4 linked regions of the Drosophila melanogaster genome follow. The protein of the gene in region 1 interacts with the protein of each later gene in a pairwise test. Each region holds a gene or a part of one and is shown in the gene's direction. Other genes may lie near its edges.

Region 1 (3,381 bases):
ACTCATGCTGTCATTCCACTTTGAAGAATCTTTCGTTTGCTCGAGCCCAGCCGAGGGCAATTCAGGAATATATACTTCCTATTGTTATTTTTTTACCATTCTGCATTTCTCAGTCATTATGAAACAATTTAAATTTCTTACATAGAAACTATACTTTTGATTTCACAGGCTTTTAAAGCAACGTTCATACACGGGTATGCATAAGCAATGGCAAAACCCACCCCGATTTGGTTTGCCATACAGCACGTTTGCCCGACTGCCAGCTTGTAATTCCCAAGTGCTTATTTGGTCAAATACTCGTATAAATACGATATCTGCTTCCCGTTACTTCGGAAGTGTATTCTGTGATTGTTCTGTACATTGATCGATATTCAGGTAACTGCATCTGCTTATCAGATCTGTTCAGAGCCGACCCTCCGTCACACCTTTGTGTTTCCCAGTAATTCTGCCTGGCGTTGCCGTGGCTCCTCGTTCGGATCGGCTTTCCGCTGCCTTCCACTGGATGACGACGGGTTATCCGGCGGTCGACGCACGGTCATGCACCCCCGATCCGTCGCCCCCACCACCCCGCGGATTCTGGTCTCGACCGGAAGCCGTATTGGGCGGGGACGGGCGGCGGTCCGGTGCTGAAGCCGGCGACAGTTGCCCGAGTCAGCCACTTTCAAAATTTGTTGGTTAAGTAACTTAGTAGCTTAGCTTCGGATTTTCGTAACAAATTTGCTGTTCAGAACACTTCCATGTACGCGGCATTGCCGAGCAATTTGCCCATTCTTTTGCTGCAGCGAACTACGTTCCAATATTTATTTATTATTTATTTTGTTATTAAAATGCATATTTATACAACTTATTATTTGAAAGTAACAATTTCTTTTTTTACAGTGAAACTAGAACTCTCAAAAATAGAACCCCAAATGCATTTTTGCTCGTAACAGGCAAACGGTATCTTGATACTAATATACGGGCATGTGTAGCATTACGGATTTCGAAGAGTATTTCTACTAGTTTTTAAGTTTTGAGATTTTTAATGCATATCGATTTCATGAATAAAGTTTCCTTCCAAAAACTAAATATGTATTTCTACTTATACTCAATAATCTCTTTTCCATGAGCATTGCAATATGACGACTATTACCAAGCAATTTAGAAGCATTGGCACATTTAGGCAGTATTCAGCTATTAGGTCCACCAAGCACGAAGTTATCGGTCCTCGCACTCGGAACTGATGTTTTATGTGGAGGTTTACTTAATTGTACGTTCAAAATTGCTTAAGCAACTAATTGTTATACCTTAACAAAGAAAAAATAAAAATTGGGGGTATTCCATTAGGTTGTAAGTCGGTTGTGAATTTTTGAATTTAAACCTTTAGATCAAATGTACTTGTCAGAAAAATTAAATTAGAACACAAATTTTTTTAAACTAAAAGTAATTTAAGTAATAAATGTTCAGGAATGCCCTTGCCAAGAGCTAGTATTTTCCAAATTACATGCAGTGCATTTAGTATATTTTTGACAGTCGACCTGTGAGTGTGTGTGCTACTACTACACGGTCACACTGTTTGTATGTTATAAACAAGCGTGGTTGCCGCACAAAATGGATTCTATTTTTCTGGTAGACACAACAGGACGCCAGGAATTCAATGGCGAGCAGCAGCAAAAGAAGATTGTGTACAACAAAGAGCTGCTCCTGACAGAAAGTGACGCGCACAGCGAGGAGGACGAGGAACAAAATGAGGGCGCAGTGGAGCTCTTTGGCCTAAAGTTGAACTCCAAGGAAGTGCTCGATGTCGTGAATTCCCTGCCTGACCGAAAGAAGCCGGTATCCAAGGTTGCCAAGCAGCTGGAGGACCTCTGCGAAAAGGTCGAGAGTGCAGTGGAGAACTCCAGCAAACCGAAAGTAGTGCCCCGGAAGCGGGTAACAGAACTGAACCACGATGCTCCGCATCTGGACCTGCGGCAGGAAAACCTGGAAAGTAATATGAAGAGGACGAAACAGGCCTTGAATCCAGGACTAGAACAGGCGCATGCACTGCCCACCGTGGGAAAGAGGCAGCAACCCATCATCAACAGAGTGAGTGTGAAGCGATTTGTTCGTACAAACAGCCCTTTTGCCCATGATGAAATATTCGACATCGGAGTTTGCGCATTGGCGACAAGACCTAAGGCTCAGACTCTAGCAAATCTAGTTTCATCCGTTGTAATCTTTGCTGCTGCACTCCAGAATTTGCAGTGGCCGTAAGGCCAGCGGGACACCAACAGCCAGGGATCAAGACTATTATCTGTCATTGAGTCCTAGACAGATAGTTTAGTCTCTGGTTTACAGAACACCCAAATGGAAATGAAACACGCGCTTTTGTCGACCCAGGAGCCAGTTAGGTCTAAGCTGTTTGTCATGGTGACGACGTCTTTAGTAATCTGAGCGCAACATATTGGAAATTTCAGACCCTACCTTGCTTTTATTTTTAATCGCCTTCCTTTTTTCAGGCTGAACGCTCAAAGACCAAGGGCAAGGGATGGTTTAATCTGCCCGCCACAGAGATCACCGACGAGATGCGAAACGAACTGAAAATAGTTCAGATGCGATCGGTTCTGAACCCTAAGCAATTCTACAAGAAGAACGACCTTAAGAGTCTGCCCAAATTTTTCCAAATCGGTACTGTGCTACCTTCGCATTTGGATCACTACCAAGAAAAGAAGTCCAAGAAGAAGCAGTCGCTGGTAAATGAGTTGTTAGAAGACGAGAGCTTCCAGAAGTTCAACAAGAGGAAGTTCAACGAGGTTATTAAGCGCACAGACAAATACGCCTATCGGAAAAACTTGAAGAAAATGAAAAAACTTAAGAAAAATAAATAAATATAAAATATTTTAAAACCTAACTTACTCGTCTCTATATTTTATTTGAACTTAAATAATGATGGGGTAAATAGTCAAGTCAGAAAGTAGTCACTCCAGAGATCGTGGAGTATCGCAAGATCCGTATGGTTAGTACCTTTCTGCGAAATAGAGGAGTTTATTTTATGTTCTCTTCCTTTGGCCAAATATTTAAAAATCATATTCCTCAGTAAGATTCTTTATATTGTGTGTATTAACAATATTTTTGACAAACTAAATTGATAACTTTATTCTAAATTGTTATAAGTGAACGAGGAAAGTTTCTTTTTAATTTTATAACCAATCTTTGAATCATGTCTTCCATCTAGTTTCCGTAGTGTAGCGGTTATCACGTGTGCTTCACACGCACAAGGTCCCCGGTTCGAACCCGGGCGGGAACAGAAAGATTTTTTATAACAATTTTTATATATATTTTTTAATGACTGTGTTTTAATTTCGTTTAACTTAAATTTATGATTTCAAAGTAGAAGAACAGATCGATAAATTTCATATA
Region 2 (4,568 bases), on another chromosome or scaffold:
AACAGATCCATCTTGAGGTCATTGTGATGCGTCACGAAGGGCTTGGCAGTGGCTCCACCGGCGATCATGTTCATCATGGGCGTCTCGATCTCCAGGAAACCCAGACGATCCAGGAACTGACGCACGTACGAGATGATCTGCGGGCAATGGGAGTAGTTTTTGTTATATTCAGCTTAAACTCCTTAGTTCAATTCATACCTTGGCACGGATCTGGAATTTCTCTCGCACATTGTTGTTGAGAATGAGATCAAGATAGCGCTGGCGGTAGCGCGTCTCCTTGTCCTTCAACCCGAAATGCAGATGGGGCAGCATGTGTAGACAGGGCGATAGCAGCTTGATCTCGCTGGGCATAACGGACAGTTCACCCTTCTTGGTTTTGCCGGGATGTCCGACAACGCCGATGATATCACCACGTCGCAATTTGGACGTATCGATTTCGAAATCCGCCTCCGACTTGTAGGACTTAGCGCTGGCCATCACCTGCACCTTGACGCCCTCGCCGCGCAGATCGTAGAAAATGAGCTTGGCGCCCGACTCGCGTATGGCATGCACGCGCCCAGCCACGCTCAGTTTGACATTCTCCAGGGTCTCGCCCTCCTTGAGGCTGTTCTCGTACTTGGCAATGAAGTCTTCCAGCGAGCTACTCACATGGAACTTGTGTGGATAGGGATCCGTTGCGGGTGAACGTTTCAGCTCCTGAACGGCGGCGGAGCGCAGCTTAAAGTATTCATTCGGCGAGATCTCCTCCTCCTCGGCGGCACTGCTCTTCTTCTTGCCAGCAGTATTTTCCGCCGGCGCAGCGGCCGCCTTCTCAGCCTTCTCCTTGGCCTTTTGCTCGGCCTTCAGGCGACGCTTTAGCTCACTGTGGACGAAGAGAAACAGTTAGGGTATTAGCAGACAATGGAGATGTTGCCACAAGGCTGTTATAACCACGCATGGATATATATATATATATATCCAGCCTGGCCAACGGTGCGTATTAGTAACCCACAGTTTGGTCTGCTTGCTTGGCTCCATTTGCGGAGCGCTCACGTGGAAACCGGCGGCAAGTGGCTGAATTCCGGTGTATCTGCATCGGGGCCATGACCCCTGCACGGTTCTAAGGGCGCAGCGGGCGAACATGGTTATTTTAAGCAGCGTATTTCATCAGCAGAACTGCACACATGCAACATAAATAATGCGAACTGGAACGTTGCCGCTTCGCCCTAACCTACAAGTGGGGCAGCTACGTTGACCGGATTTAATGCTTGCGGTCAAATGGATACGCTTTGAAGCCTATGGCACTTACTTCTTGGACAGTTCTCCACTTGCAGCGGCCATGCTGATGCGGTTACGTTGTTCGCTGTTTAATCCCGGGGTCTCAGAAGCGATGGAAACCCAAAAGAAATGCGAATGCGAAAGCGCCACAAAAGTAAAAAAAAAAAAGTACACGACCAGCGCTGCCAGATGGGCATAAATCGATGCAACTGGCTTTGCCGCACCAGATGGCCAGTCTGGCGCGAGGGCATTTTTACGCCATTGACATCTGGTCACATTGCACTAGACCCGAAATATATATTTTATTTAGCTTTTGCAATATCCTTAAATTAACAATTGATCAACTAAAGCCACGGCCTTGCGGGCAGTGAGCACAGCACAGCACGGCCCAGAACTGGACTCAATGGCTGGAGGACGCGAAATGCTCCGGTCGGAAGGCAGCAAACATCAGAACGCCAAAGTAGAGCAACTGCAGCTGTAACTGTAACTGTTAACCCTGGGTTGGTCGCGGGGGCGGGGTGGCAGTGGTGGTTGTGGACCAGGAAGAGGAAGAGCAAGGGTGCTGGGAAAGAGGAAGAGCACATCTTGAGGCCAGGAGGCAAACGAGCCAATGGAGCCACCAGCTGCACCGGTACCCCTACAGCCACTGGCAGCATCTTCCGCCTGCCTGGCGGACAGGAGTCCAGTGGATCCCATTGCAGTCAGACTGCAGCAGGAGGAGCAGGCAGAAGGAGATGACGAGGAGGAGGAGGAGGAAGAGGAGGACGATGATGATGATCCCAAAGAAGAGGAGGCCTTCTACGAGGCGCGCAACGGCAACGAAAGTGACGAGCTGGAACAGGCCTTCCAGAGTGCCCTTACCCTGACCAACGATGTCCATGTGAGTGTCAGCGAAGTGGAGGAACATGAACCGCCCTTGGCATCGAGAAATCAGGAGGTGGCAGAGGTGGAGGAGCAGCAGCAGCAGCTGGGGGCCTGCGCACTGCCGCAGCCCAGCGAAGCCTGTAAGTAACTTGAGACTGACGAGCGAGTTCATCCACTCATCCACTTGGTTCTCTTAAAGCTCTTACAGGCTCAAAGGAGACCAGGGAACCGCGCCACCACCAGACGCTGCTTTCCACCAAATCTTGCGAGACGCCGGCCAATAATGCCACGCTCTCGCCGACCAACTCCTACAATGGCAGCATTGGCAGCGACGGCGGCAGCAGTGTGGGCGGTGGCGCCCGCCGCAAGTCCTGGACCCTGTCGCCGCAAAGCGGTGGCTCCACGCCCCTGAGCGGAGCCAAGAAGAAGACCAAGACGGGTGCGCCAACCACAACACTGTCCAATGCTAATGGCGACGGTTTTAATCTGTGGGTGGCACGTGAGTGCTTCGAAACAGTGCCCGCTGAAATGGTGGATACTCTGAGCATGGCTGAAGTGGACGAGGAGGTGGATGAGGAGGAGGACGAGGAGGCGGCTGCCGTGGAGAGTCTTCTGGGAGCCGCTGCTGCCCTCCAGGCCAGTGCCCATGTGCAGCGCCGTCAGCAGCAGCAGCATCACCAGCATCTTCGCCAGCCCTCGCCACCACAGCATCGTCCGCTGGAACGATCTTGGCCGCCGCGTGCCGTTGGTCGGGATCTGAAGCTTCAGGGCGATGTCTTTCAGTTCGACATCCTGGACACGGACGAGCGACTGGCCGAGGAGATGGCACAGGGCAGTGGGAGTTCGAATAATTCACCCCTGGCCACGCCGCCTGTGCGCTTTAAGCCGCTGCTGAAGAAAAAGATTGGACCCGATAGCTACATCAACACAATTAGCACACAAAAGGTGCCGGTCCACCAGAGCTATGAGTTCCCCACCTTTCCAAGTTCCTCGGCAGTTGGATCGTCATCTTCGTCGCCGAATAGTCTGCAATTTCCGTATCTGCGCCAGCACCGTCCGCTCACCCGTGCCCTTTCCAATGGCAAGGCCAGTTCATCGGAGGAGCAAGCCTCCCCACGCCTTCTGCTCTCACCAAAACGTCCGCGAAGTCCTCCTTCCGGTTGTTCCACGCGCAGTGCCTCTCCATTGGATATCAGCCTGAGTCCAGAGCAGCACTCGCCCACCAGAGGCAGAGGAGTGGGTGGTGCTCTGCAGGATGCGGTGCCGCCCGGAACTCCAACATTCCATGGTCAGCGACCGCAGCAGCGGCTGCTCAAACGTGTAGGCGGTGGAGCAGGAGCTGGTGCTACGGGAGGCGCAACCGGCTCGCCATTGGTATGTCCACCAACGCCTACTCACCATGCCCGTCGGCATGCCCGCCTCCAAGCCGTCACTGCCAATTCCAGCCTCGCCAGCGGAGGAGCGATCCCCTCGGATCCGCCAGCCGTCTCTAGTCAATTGGATTACATATATCTGCAAGATGGTGGCCAGGAGCAGGGTCAGGAGCAGTCAGACGAAGTTGTGCACATAAGCAGCACCCGCCTGCCCTCCATTCCAGAACGCAGTGCAGCCGCAGCAGCGGCGGCGGCGGCAGCAGCAGCTGGAGCCGCTCTCATGGAACCCGGAACGGGTACGGTATCCGGGTCTAGTGGAGCTGGAGCCGCTGGAGAGCCACCATTGCCGCCTGCTTGGGAGGCGCGTATGGACAGCCACGGACGCATCTTCTACATCGATCACACAACGCGAACAACCTCATGGCAACGACCAGGAGCGGCGCCAAGTGGAGGACCAGCAGGCAGAGAGCAACATCATCGCCAGCAGCTGGATAGGCGGTATCAAAGCATCCGACGCACCATTACCAATGAGAGTAGAGCTGCGCAGCTTTACAACCTGCCAACCTCGGCGAATAGTAATGCCAATTCCACAGCTCCAGCTGCTCCTCCGCCCGCCACGGCTATACATCCAGCCATCCTGATGCTCTGCCGCCCGGATTTCTACTCCCTACTGCACACCAACGAAGCTGCACTGGCCATCTACAATCGCAATGCCGCACTAAAGCACATGGTCATGCGCATCCGACGCGATCCGCCGTGCTTCCAGCGGTATCAGTACAACAAGGATCTGGTGGCGCTGGTTAACACATTCGCCCAGATGAGCAGGGAACTGCCCTCGTGCTGGGAGACCAAGCTGGATCAATCGGGCAAGCAGTTCTTTATTGATCACCAGCATCGTCGCACCTCATTCATGGATCCTCGTCTGCCGGTGGAGTGTCCTCGTGTGGTACGCCATCGCCAGCAGCATTCGCAGCAACAGTCCAGTGTGGGCTACTACTATCCGGATCTGGTGGATGGCAACTGCCTGTCCGCCACCAGTGGGCATATTAACGCCAGTCCAGCATCATCGGTCTC
Region 3 (4,043 bases), 8.4 Mb from region 1:
CTGTCTAATAAACATTATTTCATATTTCTTGAAATTCATTTCGTGAATTCATTTCGTAAGATTTGGTAAATATTGTCTGAGACTGCTTGTCACAACATTAGAACTGAGCTAATCAATAAAACGCGCGCTCCGAATTTTGAAGCTTCGGAGTTTTAGGAGTCAGGAGATTAAAAGAAGCAGCAAAATCCAGTTTTCGGCTAGACTACAAGACATAATTACTTTAAGTATAAAGAACTAACCTTGATAATCAAATTTACCTATACCTAAGCTTAAAAAAGGCAAACATTGTATTCGAAAATATTAGATGATTGTAACAAAGCAAACAATTCGCTTCACTGTGAAGAATAAATCAAATGCTAATCCAAAACATAATGTATCAAATTACAATATTTGTAAAGCTCTCCTTTAGTACACTGAATTCTTCTACCAGGTGGATCCAATCCAAAAGCAAACTGAAAACAAATTACACCTTTCGTGACGAGCTATTTGTTTTCCCGTGCCTTGAATATATTGATATATTGATATATTGATCAAGGTTAATTTAAATATAGCATGATGGATATCTTGGTATTAGATTGTGAAAGTTAATGTGGTTTTCGTCATTCCATCTTTGGCGACAATGTATTTAATTGTATTTACGTTTTAAAGACTATTTTCAACTAATTGTAGGAACTGCAGTCCAGACAATATAAGAGTAAAATCTTGTTGATATTAAAAAAAAATCAAGCCCTAAGAAAATTTCGCACTGCAATTATAGGTGTTCAATTATACAATATTTTGTTCACAATTTATTGTCAATTTTTTTTTCAAATCACGTCACAGTTTCCTGTTGAAGTTTTTTTTGTTAAACACAGTATGGTTTAAGCCCAATTTGGAAGTAATTATATTACAGTCGAGACTTTAATACAAATGACGCTATATTCGCTGAAACAAACAAATTAGTAAGTGCGTGATTAAATTATTTGTTTAGTACTTCCAGATGAGAGATTCAAGACACGATGTTAGTAATTAAAAGAGACTTTGGATGAAATTCCTTAAGTACCAAAAATTAGTAGGCTTGCCACGTGCCATATGTTCCCACAAAAATATGAATTGAATTTTAAATATCTATAGATACTAGAAGTATTGTGGAAAAGAATAATTGGTTTCATTCATGCACGTTTAAAGACTGATTCAATTGTAAACCTTTTTATAAAATGAATTAAAATATAAATGATTATCCAAGGTAAAACAGAATATTAGTTTTTCAGTTACATTTTATTTATATTCGTTTGGCTTAGCTTTATTTCTTTAGGAAACTAATTGTTTTCCTACTTTGACTGGCCGCATAAATTATACCATATGCTGCACATTGTCATTTATGTCCTCAAACTTGAAATTTGGCATGGGGGCCCAACGAATCCGCTCCTGAGTAAACAAAAGGCTGCTCGCGAGGTGAAAACAAACCACAACAATGATCCCCCAGAGAGCGCCGAAAACGAAAATAATTGGAGAGGGAGAGCGTGTTATCCAATTTTTCGGGGGAACTACTTGTGTGTTCAGCAAGCATATGAGCGGCCAGATCCGCAGTGGGGCAAACCCGCTCAGTATCGTTTCAGCCATAAAGGTAGTTGGTCGGAAAGAGCAGATAAAACTCGATCAACGCGAGAGTTTTGGCTGAAGATAAACGGCGAGCATCGGGAAAGTAAACAGAGGCGCAAAAACAAATGTTTGACTAATCTTAATTGGATAATTATATCACAATGGACGCAGTGCAGCAGCAAACAAACAGCACTAGCAACATCGACAGCGCCAAATGCCAGAAGCTAAAGAGATTTGTGATCGTAGGCTTGCTGATCACCATTGGCATTTTGAGCTGGCACTTCTACGGTGAGTTGTCTCTTTAAGCTCTCTTCCGTAAGCGAACGGACAACGGTTTTTTCTCTTAGAGTACTTCCACAGCAAGCCGCTGCCCAAAACGCCGGATGACGTCTTGACCCTCTCGAAGAATCTGTACGCGGAGGAGACCGAGGTCAGTCCATACCTCTACAAGGTGAATCTCCAGGGGAAGACCACTTCAGGTGCTCATGACGATCGCGCCCCTAGAAAGTAAGTACCTAGTTGCGCCGCCTAATGAATTTTATCATTAAAATATTTAATTTGATGATAAGGCAATTTAATTAAAATAATTATTAATTCATTAAATACTAAAGCTGTCTAATAAACATTATTTCATATTTCTTGAAATCTTCCAGCCTCTTTGAATTGCACCAGGATCTGCTGGCCAGGGATGCTAACTCCACCACCGCTCTGCTAATGAGGCTCTTTGACAACTACGAGTTGGACGTGGCTGTGCAGGAGCATCCAACGCCGGAGCACGTCCAGGAGCAATATGATTTCCTTAGGGCCGTGATGGGTACGCGTGTGATGAAGCTGACCATGCGTTTTTTGGTACACAAGGGTGAGTAACCTTTAAATGAAATAAATCAGACTAGTATACCTATCCAATACCATCTAGATATTGTGAGCGTAGAATATGACGATCAGCTGCGTCTGCTGCAGGAGCTGTGGTTCACTCCCTACTCCAGAGGTCGTGGCATTGTGGGCAGTTCCAGTTTCGAGCACGTCTTCATGGCGGAGATTCGGGACCAGAAGGTCCTGGGCTTGCATAACTGGCTGTACTTTGCAGATCAGGAGCAACGTGGCAATGTGGACTACAAGGGCTGGCTGAACCACAAGGAAATGGGAAAGGTAAGGCTTAAAGACAAATGTAACAGATGATCCTTACAAAAGGGGATTGCTATATTTCCTCAGCACAACCAAATGGTTCTCAGCGTTCGCTACACGTTTCACAACATCAATAAGCCAGTCAACGGCTTCTTTGTGGGCATCTCGCCCGAACTGGACATGGCCCTGTACACCGCCTGCTTCCTGGCCACGGCGAAGGAGGAACCCTGCCACATCCAGTTGGGTCATGCCTCCGCCACGATTGTCTCCCACGAATGGAAATGGAACGGTATGCGCCTGATAGGAACCGTCTATCCGGACAGCTCCTAGATCACTCCAACCACCCATCTCGCAACCTCAGTCAAATTACTGACATTCGATTCGGTCGCACTGTTACCTCATCGAAATCAGCAAAAGGCTAACCTCCAAGCTCAAAGTCAAGTTCATTTTATTTTGCCACTTTATGAGTGCTTGGCCCAGTTGTCGCTGGCAATTGACGAGGATGTCAGTCAGGACATGAACAATGCCCATCTGCCTATCATTTTGGTTGTTTTGACAGGATTGCGTGGCGCAGAGCACTTACATCACGAAGTTGTTTATTAGTTCTAACATTAATAGTTATTACTGGCGGAAATTATGCAAGAGGCAAAAGCGTTTATTTTGAAGGAGCGAAAGGAGGAAAAGTGAGTGTGACGTTTTAGTATTATGCAGTCATTAAGCTCACCCTCGAAATGGATTCTACCCACTATAATTTTTATACCTTTGAATCTCTTGAACTAGCTAGTTGAAAATAAAATAACAAAATCAACTTATTTAAAATGGATTTATTAGTTATAAAACATGAATTTCCCTTCTTCGTTTAATTATGGAACACATGAGTAGAAGTACGTTGATTGAAGAAACTGTTGCTGGAGAACTCGGTGCTGACCCCTATTCATGGGCATCTAGATGGCGCTCGATGGTGACGGTCTCGTTGGCAATGTCCGCCTGCTGGACCACGGCCGGTGCACTCGACCTTCTGGCTGTGATGATGGTGGTCTGGGCCGGGGACAAGCTCTCCTCCCCCGAACCATTTTCAGCCAGGACCACAAAGGTCTCGCTGAGATCGGCCAATTCCGAGCAGGTTTCATCGTTGGACGAGCGCATCAGGCTGGGACTACTGATGGAGCACTCCAGCGTCAGGCGATCCTCGCAGTCGGGACTCCAGCTACTTTTTGCCGGCGGCTGACGCGGCAGGCTGTTGTGGCACAGCGGATTTTCCGCCGGCGACTGCTCCAGCCGCAGCTGCTGACCCCACAGCTCCACTGCCCGGGCGCGATTGTGGTCGGCCCGTTCCG
Region 4 (7,581 bases), on another chromosome or scaffold:
TTCAAGCCGGAGTCATTTTTTAGCTCCAGGGATTCAAAGGAGACATCCGATAAGGTGATCATAGATCTGAACAATGAAACGGTCACAGTCGCCAGCAAGCCAGCCACTGCAGTCCGAAACGAAGATGTAATATTCCATCCGAACGTGAGTGGGTTACCTGGTGCTCGAATATACATGCTAATAGTATCTGATTTTCAATTCCGACAGTTCCTGGGCGACCCGGATATGAAGGCCGAGAAGTGGCTGCGCAAGCTGTACAATTACCGCCAAAAGTACATGCAGGAGTAGTCGAGTTTAGACTCTGTATTTAAGAAACAATAAACCTATGTCTAGAATATATCGCTGCCCGTCTTTCGAGCGCGTTGCAAGGCCTCCTCCGGAGTCAGTTGCTCATTGACCGAGGGCTCCTTGGCGCTGCCGTCCTTCTGCAGTTTTCCCGCCTTGAAATCTTCGATAATCTTCTGCGAGTAGACGGCGTTGAAGAGATCCAAGCTGGTGAACTCCGACTGGACGACGTCCGGCGCCTTATAGGACACGTATGGCTTTAGCTTACAACCGGTCAAATCGGGAACTATGATGTCCGGAATTTTCTCGGGAATCTCCACATACTGCCCGTCGACAAGTATGCCCGTGTCTCGTACACCTCGCTTGTGAATGGCTACCGGCGGATTGGCCAGTGTTTTCTGGGCTTCCTTTACCACGCGCGTACCGCGCTTGTTGTATGCGTTAAATTTACGGAAGTTCCGCTTGCCCTCCAGCACGGATGAAGTACTGATGGTCCTCTGCTGGCACCTTAGGGCAATGGGCACTACTTTAATACAATTATTCATTCTTATTTCGTTTTTCGGCGACCAAAATGGTTAAATAACAAATGTAGATGAGGGAACAGCTGTTTGGTTGGGTAGAGATGACACTTTTTTCGATAGACAATTAATCCCAGTTGGAAATGTATTGGAAGCCAATTTGCTATTAAACTACTTGTTTTTTTAAAAATACCGAAAAAGTTTTTTTTCTTTTAGGCCGTTGCCATATTTATTTTATCTTGATAAGAACTAAGTTGTTTTTTTTTTCAAAAACTAGGCATATTTTTTTTATGTGTAAAAGCAACCATCTCTTAATAAATCGATTAACTTTGCAGCCACCAGTGCTTAAAACGACTGTTAGTTGAAATGAAACTAGATGTTGGCGGATGTCGATGTTTTTGGCGAATAACATCGACGTTTTAAACATCGATGCTTTAAATAAAAATAATTGCTTTTTATTTTAATGTTGCTTAAATAAAACGTCAGTATTTGGTGTCCACCTTTTCATCCTCCGCTGGTCCAGTAATTGCTCCTATAAGACAAATGCACGTTTACATACATACATGTATATACATTTAGACGTGCATATGACATGCATTCATATGTGCAAGCCTTTTTCGGGTGTTAAAAACTTTCTTCTCAGATATTTTCCATGTCTATCACGACGCCACAATATGGTATTAATAATTGTATTAGAAGATATGGAAAATTAATTTGTACTTACAATTTATACGCTTTTCTCCTCAGATGCGATGTAGAGATGGAAAAACATCGATGATTCCTCGAAAACATCGATGAATGCGATTTTTTGAAAACATTGATGACATCCATGCTAGCATCGATGTTTCTCCATCTCTAGCTGAAACTCCCCAAATCGGCTTGTGATCCCTATAAAAAGTTGATTTAGATTCGACGGTTGTTAAACAATGTCGTTACCGGCTGAAGAGGAGGATTTGGCGGACACTGTCGCCAAGTACGATTCCATCGAATTGAAGAGCATACAGGACCTGGAAACCTGCGAGCAGCAACAACTACTGCAGTACGTCGAAAAGCTGCACGGGATTATCCGCAAATACGACACCAAACTGGCGTCCTATAAACAAAAACTCCTACACTACGTGAGTCCCAATTAAAGGTTGAGCTAAAATGGTCTTAATTTTTGATCTATTTTAAAGGTAAGCCGGGAAGAAAAGGTTTCGTGTGACAAAGCCAGCCAAGCAACTGAATCGGAATTACAAGAATGCCAGTATTCCATGGAAAACGATGAGGATACTAACAAAAAAGACCAGCCCAACGATTGTGAGTTAAAATTTGTTTTATTACACTGAGTCCTTCTATTATTGCTACAATAGTAGTGAGTTCCTACTTTGTTTTACTGGCCACCGCGGCCACCAGCGCAGCTCCACGTCCGGATCCGTCCTCCGAGAGCATGATGTCCCACTCCTTGTCTGCTTTCACCAGCTTTTGGAGTGTTTGCCTCATGTAGGCATCGAACTTTGGATGGTATCGGTAGACGGAGCCATCCATGCCGACTATCACGCGGCGGTTGGAAGTCCTGTTCACCAGCCCACTGACTCCGATGGCTACTAATGTAGCCGCTCGCTTAGCTACGCACTCGCAGATGTATCTCAGAGTCTGGCAGTCCTCCACGGAGGCCTTCTCTAGACCAAACAGATTTTTCACAATCTTCCTTGTGCTGGCAAACTCTGGGAAGGAGTCGTCCTCGATTTCCGAAATGTAGCGCGTCTCGAAAACCTCTTCGTTTCTCTGCAGCACGCTGGCGAATTCTGGACGTCGACTGCTCTGTTTAAAGATCAGCTTGCGCTCGAGGGCACGAAGTAGCACAAGGCGCACCAGGTTGCCCAAGTACATGCCCGCCGTCATCTTTTCGAACAGCTGCTCCGATCGGTTTAGAGACTTTTCGTCAACTTCGCGATCGTATTCGGTGCGCACAAAGTCCAACTGACCACCCTCACCAAAGGCGCCCCACTCAGCATTTACAATCACACTCCGCTTCGTTTTTTTAAAGTCTGCGCGCAATAGGTCCACATTCTCAACATCTTCAACGTAGCAGGCATTGCAGCCAGTTCCCACAATGACACCCACCCGGCAATCTGCATTACGATGGGCGCAGGACATCAAGGTGCCAGTGGTATCGTTGAGTATAGCCACCACGGCAATGTCGGCATCTCCGCGCCGCTGAATGGCCTCGTGCAGCATGCGGCCCACATCCTCGCCCTCAACCCCAGCACAATCGAATCCCTTAGTCCAGCGTACCAGGATGCCCTCCTTAAGGCCTAGTTGCACGCAAGGGAAGGAAAAAGTGAAGCCCAGTGGCAGATATGCGGTCTTCATGTCGTGTTTCTCCACAAATTTGGCCAGGCAGCCCGCAATGTGATCGAATAGGTCCACACCGGGCCCCACCATCAGGTCCTTTGGCACGGCATAGATCTGAGAATCCACCGTGGCGTCGTGGTGACCTTTCAGCGAGACGAGCAGTACTCGGAAGTTGGTACCGCCGAGATCCAGGGCCAGGTACTTGCCCATCTCGTCGCCCGTGGGCAGATCCTGCACGTACGTGGGAAAACACTTGACGTTGGCCTGTGGATGCGTGGACCGCTTAAGTCCACGGGCCACTTCCAGGCAAAAGCGACTGTACACTTCCTGCACCTGGTAATCACTCAACACAAAGGGTTGCATAAGTTCTCGCACCTCCGCGTCCAGCATTTTGCTTGGCTAATCTATCTGTCTTAGTTGTAACCGCCTCGAACGATGAGTAACGACTAACCAGGCGCCTGGCGAGCCCACGGCGATTTGGAGTTGCCCTGGGTGCCTGATAAGAGCCAGGCGTTGAGATGCAGTGCGCCTTGGAAACAACTGCTGCCGCTGCAATATGGGCGCTGCGTAGCAAATTAAAAACGAAAACACACCTAAGTAGCTGATTTGCGGATTCCGAATCTGAAACTACAACTGCGCGACATGCTAATCGCTCGTTGTCTCGTTTGCCGCTTGTCAATTGGTGGCAATAGCTTCAGATTCGGCACCCTACAAATTAATTGTAGATCGTCTTTAGCCGACTATTGGAAAGGAGGAAATATGTCACAATTAACTCTGCGAATAAATCCCGGATGGACACCGATCGCATGGCACAAGAATCCATTAAGAGATTACTATTAAAAAGTGTTTCAGTATCTACAAATAAGGTGTCCTCCGTTGTACTAAATTGTTGTATAACTTTTCGTAGAGTGCCATATTTCCGGAAAAAATGGCCAAGGCCGTATTTCACTTTTTTACTTTCTAAAAGCCATAAATTGTCACAGGGCGATATTAGCTGCAACACGCCTTCTTAGTTACGATGAGATAAGGCCGTTTCAAGGACCGCATCTTACAAGCGCAACCCACCCACTTGTCTATCTATTGAGGAGTATTGGCGGGGTCCTAGGTCGAGTACGTCAAACATTCCATGCCGGTAATGCCCGAGATAAGCACTGAAGTGTCGCATGGGCTAACGCCACTGCCCCTGACAAAAATCCGAGCAGCCCTTGACACTACTCTTAATAGAATTAATATGATTACGCAAAACTCAGGGGATTAGAAAAATAATTAGAATTCTTATACTAACACTTAAATAGCTACTTTATAGTTCGTCTAAATACATATAACTATAAACATTAATTTATGAATGTAAAGATAACTACAACCCATTTCCGACTATTTTTAAAGTTGAAATAAGGAAATGTTTTTCAAAACTGCTGATAACATTGCTCATTTTCGTGTCGTTCACCACAGGTTTCTGTTTTTATTTCTATATTGTCTTAAATATTTATAAAACCTTATCAATAACCATCAAAACATTACAAGTCATGTTTGGAAAATAATTTATATTTGCAGTATCGGCGACGGACGCCTTCAGTTTTGTGGACGAAATGAGGCAGGCAGCCAAGCACGCCGAAAACCTGAACAACTTCGTTTACGAGCACACCTCTGGCATGTACTACGATCCCAAGACGGGATACTACTATAACGCGGTAAATAAGCTATAAACAGCGGACGCAATCTTTATGACGTCCCGTTCTATTCCGCGATGCAGTGACTGCACCGCGATGACTTTCAGGGGTTATCGCGCTGGCAAACCTACATCAATGGCTCGGATTGTTGTTAATCTACACCTGCTTTTCTCTTCCTCGCAGGAGTACGGGCTGTACTACGATGGTAACAACGGCTGCTACTACAGCTATGATCACGCCAAAGACTCGTACGAGTTCCACTCTCAGGCCCAGGTACAGGTGAGTGGGTGTAGTTGCGGATTTCAATGCCATACGACCACATTAACCACTGTTCTTCTCCTCCTCGCTGCGCAGCCTTTGAGCGACTGCGCCTATAGTAGTCTTTTAGCGGGGTTTCACAAACTCCGCATAGACCGAATGCGTAGCAATGCATTAGGTAAGAGTCAAGGTCCAGAATGTGCGATAAAAACGCGGATTTCTTTTCTTAACTTGGTTGCAGGCGAACGATGCGGCCAAACCGGAATCGGAGGACGAGGATTTGGAGGTGCAGTTCGATGAGCTGGGAGGCGTCATTACGGACCACGAAACGCTGAAGAAGATTAAGGCCGAGAAGCAAAAGGCCAAAGATCAAGCTGAAAAATCCAAGCGCAAAGCCAAGAAAAAGAAGAGTAAAAAGCACAGCAAGAAGAGATCCAAGAAGGAGCGCCGTCACAAGTCCAAGAAGCGTCACAGGCATTCTGATGATGAGCGGTCTAATGATGCCGAGGAGGGCGAGCTGTCGCAAAGCAGCGACTCCAGTTCCGACTCTAGCAACGAGGATAGCAGCAGCAACACGGAAGACAGCAGTGTTCCAGTTTTCAAGGCTGCCGGACGCTTTCAAGGTGTTTAAGTTATCCGCGTTTTTATCGCGCTCTTCCCTGTTTGTTTAACTAACGCTTTCTTCTTTGCTTAGACATTGCTAAAAAGTATCCACCCTCCCTCCGCATCATTGTCCAGGAGACTAACGTAGAGTCGCTGAAAGTGGGAAGCCTGCATCTAATCACATACAAAGGTGGATCTCTTGGACGGGAGGGCGCTCACGATGTTATCATTCCGGACGTGAACGTCAGCAAGTGCCACTTAAAGTTTAAGTATGAGAACAAGTTGGGAATCTACCAATGTCTTGATCTGGGCTCCCGAAACGGTACCATTCTCAATGGATCCCCAATGTCCAGCGACGCCATGGATCTCGTTCACGGCAGTGTTATCACTCTGGGCCAAACAAGACTACTGTGTCATGTCCACGAGGGTAACAGTACCTGCGGTTTGTGCGAGCCGGGCCTTTTGATAGAGAATTCTCCGCCGGTAGTGGCCGCTGTTGCCTCATCCACCGCATCCGTATTATCTCACAAGGAGCAGTTAAAAAAACTGCAGCGCAAATATGGACTAGAAAACGAAAGTAAATACAAGACAACTTATACTCTCACTTTACTTTGACAATCCTTAATTCACTTTTAGAATTCGTTGATACTAGCGGCAATGGGCAGTCCAACTACAATGATCGTGCCGCAACAAGGAGAGTCCAGGTGGGCAGCAGTACAGATAAAGAAAAGACTGAGGTGGCTTGTGTGAACACGTGAGTATCAGCTTACACATCTTAACTTGAATTGGTTGACCAATGTGTTATTCGTTTTTAGTGAAATCGGTAGCTCTAATAAGGGTTTTAAAATGCTGAGTAAATTGGGCTGGCAAAAGGGCGAAAAACTGGGCAAAACAAATGCCAGTGCTGGACTTTTGGAGCCGGTAAGTGTTTTAGACTTATAAAGCTAGTCACTACTTCTAATACCAACCCGTTCGCAGATCAATGTGGTAGCCAATGAGGGCACTAGCGGTCTGGGAAACAGTGACCCAGTGCTGTCCAGCTCCAGAACCATTGACAAACGGAAGCTGGCCAACTTGAAGATCACTCAGGCGCGATATCAGCGCGCCAGTGATATGTTTGGACAATCGGATGATAGTGATTAGAAAGACATTTTGAATGATGTTGGAAACACATTTAATTAACAATTACTCAAACATATTTATAAGTGTATGTAAATATATATGTATGTATATACACATAGATTCTATGTATGTATATATTAATTCAAAAATCTTGCTATAAGGTTAAGCTATCAGTCAATTAATTAATTTAGCTTCGCTTATAAACAAAAAGAATAGGGGAAGGTAATGTTAAATAAATACGACTTCGCACACGTTGGTCTAAACTAATTGCGAGCCTAATGGGCATACAAACCGATCGTTTAAATTAATTATCGTGTAGCCTAATGTTAATGTTAAATACAAAAGCCTCTTAAGATATGTGGTTTCTCTTGCGATACATGCTGGATAAGATTTGCTGCAATACGTAATGTTGTAAGGTTGATAATACTTTGCCTGTATGTTAAGTGTATCGGATAATATGTAGTGTAAGCTCGGTAGGCTTGGGCAACAGCCGCAGGCCCATCCACCGATTACAACACGAAAACGCACAACGAGAATCTTTGGATGTTGGAGCTACGGAAGAACACGCTACATAAAGCCCTAGGCCGATGTGGTCGAGAGATGCATCCGATCTCCTAGCAGCTACCCTGGGACTTGACGCCGATGAAGTAGCGGGATTCGCAGGAGTGTTTGTGCATCTCACACCACGAGTTGTATGTCTGGTTGTTGTAGCCGCATATTTTGTGTACCTAATATTACAAAATTAATTCATAATAGGAAAGGAAATGTTTTATTTACAAAAAATCTGT

What was found.
Region 2: the proteins of CG1142 (region 1) and Hecw interact in a two-hybrid assay, tested with the Drosophila melanogaster proteins (one large-scale study listed by BioGRID).
Region 3: the proteins of CG1142 (region 1) and EndoU interact in a two-hybrid assay, tested with the Drosophila melanogaster proteins (one large-scale study listed by BioGRID).
Region 4: the proteins of CG1142 (region 1) and CG8079 interact in a two-hybrid assay, tested with the Drosophila melanogaster proteins (one large-scale study listed by BioGRID).

The regions. Positions count from the first base shown.
Region 1 is NT_033777.3:7,471,947-7,475,327, reverse strand, and holds CG1142 (uncharacterized protein), read left to right. Parts: upstream 1-1,546; 5' UTR 1,547-1,590; coding exon 1,591-2,067; intron 2,068-2,105; exon of another isoform or gene 2,106-2,421; intron 2,422-2,480; coding exon 2,481-2,849; 3' UTR 2,850-2,870; downstream 2,871-3,381.
Region 2 is NC_004354.4:9,607,431-9,611,998, forward strand, and holds the start of Hecw (hecw ubiquitin protein ligase), read left to right. Parts: upstream 1-1,515; 5' UTR 1,516-1,867; coding exon 1,868-2,261; intron 2,262-2,320; coding exon 2,321-4,568. Other genes in the region: LysRS (Lysyl-tRNA synthetase), read right to left, coding at 1-137, 199-862, 992-1,122.
Region 3 is NT_033777.3:15,906,851-15,910,893, forward strand, and holds EndoU (endoribonuclease U-specific), read left to right. Parts: upstream 1-1,547; 5' UTR 1,548-1,742; coding exon 1,743-1,869; intron 1,870-1,928; coding exon 1,929-2,088; intron 2,089-2,234; coding exon 2,235-2,440; intron 2,441-2,497; coding exon 2,498-2,730; intron 2,731-2,793; coding exon 2,794-3,036; 3' UTR 3,037-3,517; downstream 3,518-4,043. Other genes in the region: CG45105 (uncharacterized protein), read right to left, coding at 3,637-4,043. UniProt on the Drosophila melanogaster protein: Endoribonuclease that cleaves single-stranded RNAs at uridylates and releases products that have 2'-3'-cyclic phosphate termini. Preferentially cleaves single stranded RNA at poly-U sites with CU, UC and AU sites cleaved less efficiently.
Region 4 is NT_033778.4:15,216,735-15,224,315, forward strand, and holds CG8079 (uncharacterized protein), read left to right. Parts: upstream 1-1,646; 5' UTR 1,647-1,729; coding exon 1,730-1,921; intron 1,922-1,978; coding exon 1,979-2,102; exon of another isoform or gene 2,103-2,165; coding exon of another isoform or gene 2,166-3,530; exon of another isoform or gene 3,531-3,595; intron 3,596-4,694; coding exon 4,695-4,831; intron 4,832-4,993; coding exon 4,994-5,089; intron 5,090-5,164; coding exon of another isoform or gene 5,165-5,309; coding exon 5,310-5,691; intron 5,692-5,762; coding exon 5,763-6,248; intron 6,249-6,307; coding exon 6,308-6,425; intron 6,426-6,486; coding exon 6,487-6,592; intron 6,593-6,649; coding exon 6,650-6,814; 3' UTR 6,815-7,081; downstream 7,082-7,581. Other genes in the region: CG11808 (uncharacterized protein), read left to right, coding at 1-144, 208-288; mRpL41 (mitochondrial ribosomal protein L41), read right to left, coding at 330-830; Hex-C (hexokinase C), read right to left, coding at 2,166-3,530; Fs (follistatin), read right to left, coding at 7,408-7,521.